Drosophila melanogaster: one gene and its partner. The protein of the gene in region 2 interacts with the protein of the main gene of each other region in a pairwise test. Each region holds a gene or a part of one and is shown on either strand. Other genes may lie near its edges. The genes, in order: smo and cos.

Evidence for each region.
Region 1: the proteins of cos (region 2) and smo interact in binary tests that used the Drosophila melanogaster proteins (3 or more experiments, as listed by UniProt).

What each region holds. Positions count from the first base shown.
Region 1 is NT_033779.5:275,315-279,236, reverse strand, and holds the start of smo (smoothened), read right to left. Parts: upstream 1,656-3,922; 5' UTR 1,412-1,655; coding exon 1,374-1,411; exon of another isoform or gene 1,308-1,373; coding exon 914-1,307; intron 595-913; coding exon 113-594; intron 53-112; coding exon 1-52. Other genes in the region: CG17078 (uncharacterized protein), read left to right, coding at 2,095-2,278, 2,334-2,498, 2,740-3,918. UniProt on the Drosophila melanogaster protein: Segment polarity protein required for correct patterning of every segment. G protein-coupled receptor which associates with the patched protein (ptc) to transduce the hedgehog (hh) signal through the activation of an inhibitory G-protein.
Region 2 is NT_033778.4:7,385,508-7,389,429, forward strand, and holds the start of cos (costa), read right to left. Parts: upstream 1,609-3,922; 5' UTR 1,473-1,608; coding exon 821-1,472; intron 763-820; coding exon 51-762; intron 1-50. Other genes in the region: Dhx15 (DEAH-box helicase 15), read left to right, coding at 2,021-2,073, 2,128-2,921, 3,201-3,674, 3,740-3,922. UniProt on the Drosophila melanogaster protein: Regulates cubitus interruptus (ci) processing by recruiting multiple kinases to promote its efficient phosphorylation.

The DNA of each region.
Region 1 (3,922 bases), on a different chromosome or scaffold from region 2:
CTTACGACATACTATGTCCTCTCGCGAGCCAGAAGTAAACTGAAGCAACCAGCTGCATAGTAAATACGTGGTTGATTAAGAATACAAATGCAAAATAGTGCTCAAAACTTACCCGACGCAAGCAATTAGAAAGCAAAGATTTATGTAGAACACAATTACTGCCGGATACTTGTTGGCATTCTTCCAGTCGATGAAGAAGGTGGACACCACGAAAAGGTTAGACAGAAGACATATGCTGCCAGCCCATCCGATCAGTTTGTGGATCTGCCGATGCTCATCATCGGTATAGAGTGGATCCTTGCATCGCACGCCGCAGCCCTCGATGCCAGGATAATAGCTGGCTGACGTATCTGTCGGAACCAAAGGACTTAAACACTGGCCAGTTCCGTTGAATTTCATTCCTCGTGCTCCGTTTGTGCATTTCGTCGGAAAGAGTGTTTCGTTGCAGCGAAGGAATTTTGGGAAAAACGTCGTGTTGTACAAAATGCGACAGGGTTCCATGGTAATTCGGCACATCTCGTAAGATGGCAGGTAGACCATGTCCTCGCCGTTGATTTTTTCACACTTCGGCTTAAAGACGGCGCACAAAAAGGGCTATAAACATGTAAAAATGGGTGTGTTGAGCTAATCCGGAATATTGAAGAAATGGATTTGAAATACTATAATATCTACAGAAAACCTTGAGCCACAACTGAATATGTATATATATCTGAATCTTCCCAAGATAAAGCAATTCACATATTACTTTCACTGCTTGAACACAAAGCGTAATTAAGTAATCACAGTTGTGCGCTTAACTTGTTTCTAATGCACCTCCTTATCAGAAAATAATGCGACAATCTGTATTTTCATACAGACTCGGCCCCACCTTTTGAAATCATTAGGTACATTAGATGTTATTAAGATTCCTCACCTGTATAGCTGCCCAACATTTGGGCACGTGCTTCAGGGCATAGTAGTCGTTCAGCTTATCGTTCAGCTCCTTTTCGGTGTGGAAGTCGGTGAGATCTAGGCTGCTCAGCTCATAGGGCAATTTTGAGCCGAAACAGGTGTTGGTTGCGTTCGAGGTGGGGTAGCAACGGGCACGTCGGACACACTGGATGTGCCTGCTGTCTAGGCCATCAAACCAGGGTTTGTCGTCCCTGCCCTTCTTGGCGTACAGTCGGTAATTGAGAGTCCCATTGATGGGCTCCAGTTCCACATCCGACTGCTGCGCACTTGCGGGCGTTGTGCTGCCGAACTTGGCCGAACTGGCCGATGCGTCTGCGACCACCCACAGGCATAAGATCGCAACCTCCAGGAACATCCTGCGGTTTGTAAATAACCAAGTTATTTTAATTGCCCACACCATTTGCCAGAGGCGAGTCACTCACATAATGTTTGGCATGCGCGGAAAGTTTAAGTACTGCATCCGCTTATAAAAATCATTAAATAGCTGCCTTGTGTGAATTTTAATGGGCTGAATGCCCGTTTCTTGCTCAGCGGTTCGTCAGTGCATCGTGAAGGCGCTTTCGTTGGACTCGGGATATCCTGGTTTAATTGTTCCCTTTGAAGGATTGCAGTGTTTTTAAAAAAGAGAAAAAAAAAACAAGAACCAAGGAGGAAAACAAAAATAAACGCGACTCAACGTGAAGCTGAAGCAACAAATGTGCGACCATTCAGGGCCAGTTTAAATATACCCATGTTATCGGTCAGCGAGATTTGCATGTTATCGGTCGGCATCGGTTATTATCGGTCATAGCTGCAACAAGTCGAATGATATGCAAACAAATCGGATTTATTTTGTTCGATCGTAACATAAGATAACATCAACATAAAATAAGAAATATGATCATATGTAGAAATGCATCAGCAAACGAAAAAGGTGTTCCCCGCAACATTTTGACTATATGGCAATGCTGGCCGCTGGCTTATTTATTTATGCCATGCGCTCGACGGTCACACTGGGTGCGGAGTATCGATAACACCGCGATAGTAGCGCACCAAGCATCGATGTAGTTTTTACATCCCTATTCTGCAATATTATTTCACGGCACGGTCCAAAAACACGGATAACAGGGCTTGGTTGGAGTCGCGCAAACGCAAATAGAAGCCATGGACGTTGCCCCCGCACCGCCCGCCAGTTCCGGCGGCGATCATAGCACCCAGCAGGCGCCGATCAGTCCGAATCAAAATGCAAACCAAGCGCCGGTCGCACTCGCAAAGGCAACAACAATCGAAAATGGTGTACAAACAGGAGGAGCGAAAAAGCCAGAGAGCTGCGGTGAGAAAGCCCCCGGTTAGCAAACTTGCTCGAAGCTAGTCTAGTTTCCTGGTTAACGTTTACCTTTTAGCCGTAGAGCCGACACATTCCACTGATGCTAGCCAGAAGGACGACGACGAGGGCAAGCCGAAGACCGAGCTGGCTGACAAAGTATTGATTACCATATGCAGCGCCGATCGCAAGATCAAGAAGACCTTCATGTCGTTGCCCACTCGAAAGGATGTAATCGACAAAGGTAAGGAACGTCCGACGAATTGGGTATCTATTCATCCAGTATTCCGAATGAACGTTGCCCAGTTGGAAGTTATTAACCAGTAGACAGTCTTTAATAAGAATCTATTGGGTTTAAGCTTAGAGCATTTCTGCATTTAAAAATATAAATTTGATCAATGGGTGATATATTTATCTAGGATAGAAATTAAATAATTGTACATATTTTATTTAATTTATATCAATAATATATTTGTATTCGGTAGCTCACAAATACGGCCTGTGCGGCAACACAATTGTCCTGGAGAGCAACGGCTGCGAGATCTGCGAGGACGACGTGCTCTTGTTCGCTGCCAAGGAGAAGATTCTGTTGATGCTCCTCGCCGAGTCGGAGGAGTATGTGGTGCTTCCTCCGCCATCGCCCCTCAACCGATCCGAACGCGCCGGCAGCTCGGTGGATCCCAGCTTCTATGCCAACAACAGTATTGTGTCGAACCCGAACGATTCGACGGTCTCTAATGACGAAACCATGTCACTGTCCAGCGTAACGCCATCAAGTGCAAAGAGTTCTGCTCTATTCAAGGAGTTCTCGATACCCTGGAGCAAGGTGCCTGGGGACATAATGAAACTACTAAAGGGAAAGGGGAGTTTGGGCAAGCGGTTGAATACACTTGCGAATGTTTTGGTGGAGGCTCTCCGTGAAATATCCGCCCACATTCCCATACGGATTTTCCGGCAGGTCGCCCAACAGGCGGCTGAAAAGTACCCCGACTCCTTACTCGAAAAAGACCGCGAGGGACAGTTTATAGCCACCACTCCGCAATCGCTCATATCCAAGATGATCAACCGTAACAATGCCCTAAACAAACCCCAGAAACGCGGCAGCTCGGGAACCTTTGAGATCCACATCCCTAATAAAAAACGAAAATTCGGAGGTGGTGCTTCCAATGGTGATGCAAAATCGCTGGCTCTTAACAGGGATCTGGAGCACAAAAAGGAGTTACTAATCTCCAGCTACCGAGGCAGTTCCCCACTGGAACAGTCCGTCATAATCGAATATATGAAAGAGTGCTTTCCGTTGCAGCGCTCCTTTTTTAATAACAGCGAAAAGATCCCAGATATAACGGCCATTAAGGACAATTGGCCATATATTTTTGACAAGGCTGTGCTGTACCAGCACTTTGAGCTGCTTATGTCCATCGATCCCCGGGCTCTAGAGAAGCGCTTGGCTACCGAAAAGGATCGCTTTTTCAGGTTCTTTAAGAGTTCAAAGAACAAGAAGATCAGCTCTTTGGACGAGACCAACGCTAATTTCCTGCGTGGCATAGCGTACTATTTTAATGAGGATCCCGACTACATTTTCAAGCACCTCGAGAACAGTTCCCTTAGCAAGGAATCACTGCAAAGCACGAATCCCACAAACGCCCCCTGGGTGGCTCTAGTCAGTAA
Region 2 (3,922 bases):
ATTTCTTTTGTCGTCAAAAGGCCCACATCGGAAATAATGTGTACACTTACTTGGAAAATAGCCCCTCGGCGTTGGTAACTAGTTTGGACCATTGGCTTGCTGCGAATTGTAGGCCAAAGTTGTCCCCTGGTCCCGCCTGCGACAAGGGTCCAGCAGAGGAATTGGATTCGGGAACAGGCTCAGCCGGCTGAACGATCATCGTGTTGTCGTCGGAGTAGGTGTTCATAATTACAAAATTACGTACGCACTGCACCTTAAAGGCGAACTGCAGGTTGCCAAGAGTTTCGGGCAAGTGCTCTTCCAGCGGTGACACGCACAGGATCACGAGCGTCTGAGCCCGTCCGCCGAACGAGTCCTTCAGGAGAGTGGTGAGCGTGGTCTGACCGTACGGAATGTTGCCATTAACCCCGTACATGAGGCCTGGATCTGTGAGAGTACTGATCACCTGCTCCAGCATACACAGGCCAGCATCGAGAGGACGTCCCGGTGGCTGGTCTCCACATCTCTCTGTGCCGCAGAGATCCGAGAAACTGGCCGTGGACAAGCGGTGCTGCAACAGCCCCTCCTTGGACACCCACTGCTGCTCCAGGGTAAGCGTGAACAGGGTGTGCGCCGGCAACGATTGGCGGGCCGACAGACCCACCTGCAACCAGTGGAAGACGGCATCTACGTTGGTGCAGTGTATGTTTCCCATGCCCAACAAGTCGCAGACATCACCTCCGCAAATTTCCACGAATCCCACGTTGATGGCATAGGTGCGTTCTTAAAGTGAAAATGGAAATGGATAACTATGCTTATAAGATCCTTTTAGTAAACTCACCTGGGTGCAACGATATGTGTGAGAAAATGTCACGGACACAAAGTTGGACGACTCCTTCGGTGGAATCCGTCAGAGTAGGGTCCTGGACGTTTCCGTAGAGTGTGTAGCTTTTGCCCTGGCCCCTCTGGCCATAGGTGACTACAGATGCGTCGAAACCTTCCAGGAACAGGGTGATGAGCGGAAAGACCGTCTGGTGGTACACTTGCTCCTGGGAGCTGCTGCTGGGCAGGGCGTGGGTGACCGGAACCGTGTGGGGACCGACTTGTATCAGTCCAGCTGCAATGCTGTCCATGGGATCTCCGCCTGGCAGGGCACTGGGCAATCCCAGGGCCGAAGCGCTGATGGGAATAGCCTGAACGCAATATGCGGAGTCTGGGTAATCCTTCTGACCACTGTCGTTGCCATTGGCATCTGGAATTGTCTTCGAATCGGCCGCACTGTCCTGCTCAGCATTCCCGTTTGGGTCCGTCTCTGAAATTGACGGATTGTCCTTCTCAGCCGCCGGAACTTGAGCCTCGGAGTCCTTGGAGTCCGCCCCCTCATCCACCGCCTGCGCATCCTTTTTGGGCTCTGTGGGGCCGAAGCTCCTCAACAAGTCCTTGAGCTCTCTATGCGGGAAGATGCGCACCGCTACCTGAATGGGTATTTCCATGGTGGTTAGGCAACTAGTCCTGGTCTCGCAGGAGCTCTTTCATTCGATATCCTGCTCTTTGTTTCGCATCTTTGCGCTTTCAAATACGTGCAAAAATTCAACTCCCTCCGAATCGATACAATGTGATAGTGTGGCCGACGCTAAAGCGCCAACCCAAGCCGAAAATACCGAATCCATGTAACAGTTTGTTACTGTAAAAATCAAAATCAGTTTCCAATCAAATTGCTGTCAAATGTCAATTTTAAGACTGTGAGCTCACAACTATTCTTCAAACTGGTGAGTAAAACCGAATTCTATAGATAGATTCTCGTCAAAAGACTTAAGCTTGAACTGCTGTTTTTTTTTAAATGCCAAATTGCTGCCGTGCTGTTGGTTGTGATCTTCGCTAACCATGGGCTTATATAGTATACACAGACAGTAAACTTTGGTATTTTAAAAGTTGCGATCAGCATGGTCGGTATATGCTAAAGGTCTCACTGAGCGCGTGTTTTTTTTTGTGCTAAACGCTTCGTTTTGAGAATTAAGTGCAGTAATCACCATAAATTAGCATGTCCAAGCGTCGAATCGAAGTGGGGGAGACCTACGGCAGCAAGGCGAAGAAGTAAGTGACCCGAGGCCAACATACGGCAGTAATGTAACGCTCCTTTCTCACCAGGGACCCGGAGGCGTCCTCCTCGTCGGCGGCAGCCGCTGCCGGCACAGTGGCTCAAATCCTGGGCGGATTCGTGCCCAACAAGCAACCGCCCACGATGAACCCGCTGACCAACACGCCGTACTCACAACGGTACCAGAATCTCTACAAGAAGCGCATTGCGCTGCCCGTGTTCGAGTACCAGGCGGACTTTATGCGGCTGCTCAGCCTGCACCAGTGTATTGTGCTGGTGGGCGAGACTGGCTCCGGCAAGACGACCCAGATCCCGCAGTGGTGCGTGGACTTCGCAGTATCCAAGGGGCGCAAGGGAGTCTCCTGCACACAGCCACGTCGAGTTGCCGCCATGTCCGTGGCCCAGCGCGTTTCGGAGGAGATGGACGTAAAACTGGGCGAAGAGGTCGGCTACTCCATCCGTTTCGAGGACTGCTCCACGGCCAAGACGCTGCTCAAGTACATGACCGATGGTATGTTGTTGCGCGAGGCCATGTCTGATCCCATGCTGGACCAGTACCAGGTCATTCTGCTTGACGAGGCTCACGAGCGGACCTTGGCCACTGACATTCTAATGGGCGTGCTCAAGGAGGTCATTCGTCAGCGCAGCGACCTTAAGCTGGTGGTCATGTCCGCCACACTGGACGCCGGCAAGTTCCAGCAGTATTTCGACAACGCACCGCTCATGAAAGTGCCCGGTCGCACACATCCCGTGGAGATCTTCTACACGCCCGAACCAGAAAGAGATTACCTAGAGGCTGCTATTCGCACGGTAATCCAGATACACATGTGCGAGGAAATTGAGGGTAAGTTGGTAAATGAGTTTAGCTTGGAGTTCATTTAATAGCTTGCTAGTTCATTGTTCTAAGAAGCATTTATCGATCATATGTTTACAATGTAAAAGTGCCAGGCAAAATATAAACTTTCCGAGTGCCGAAGGGCGGCAAATGCTTCGTATTTGCTTTAATGGTATTGTAATCATTCAAGTGTTTACGACTTTTGAATATGATCCTATTCAATGCCGGAAAAGACGCATTCGCTTTTTCCATTGTAAACTAAACCCCAACTTGATTTTGCTACTCTAGGTGATATCCTAATGTTCCTCACGGGCCAGGAGGAGATTGAGGAGGCTTGCAAGCGCATCAAGCGCGAGATCGACAATTTGGGCTCAGAAATTGGAGAGCTGAAATGCATTCCCCTGTACTCGACGCTGCCGCCCAATTTGCAGCAGCGCATCTTCGAACCGGCCCCGCCGCCAAATGCTAATGGCGCAATTGGACGCAAGGTCGTGGTGTCCACCAACATTGCCGAAACCTCGCTGACCATTGACGGAGTGGTGTTCGTGATTGATCCAGGCTTCGCCAAGCAAAAGGTGTACAATCCTCGCATTCGAGTGGAGAGTCTGCTCGTCTCACCCATTTCAAAAGCGTCTGCGCAGCAGAGATCCGGTCGTGCTGGACGTACGCGTCCTGGCAAGTGTTTCCGTCTGTACACGGAAAAGGCGTTTAAAAACGAGATGCAGGACAACACCTACCCCGAAATTCTGCGCTCCAATTTGGGTAATGCCTAGATCCCCTGGAAGTATTACTCGATTTCTAATATCTTGTTTCTTATTTTTGAGCAGGCACTGTGGTTCTGCAGCTCAAGAAGTTGGGCATCGATGATCTGGTGCATTTCGATTTTATGGACCCCCCTGCTCCAGAGACCTTGATGCGTGCCCTGGAGTTGCTCAACTATCTGGCCGCCCTGGATGATGACGGAAATCTTACAGACCTGGGTGCCGTTATGTCCGAGTTTCCATTGGATC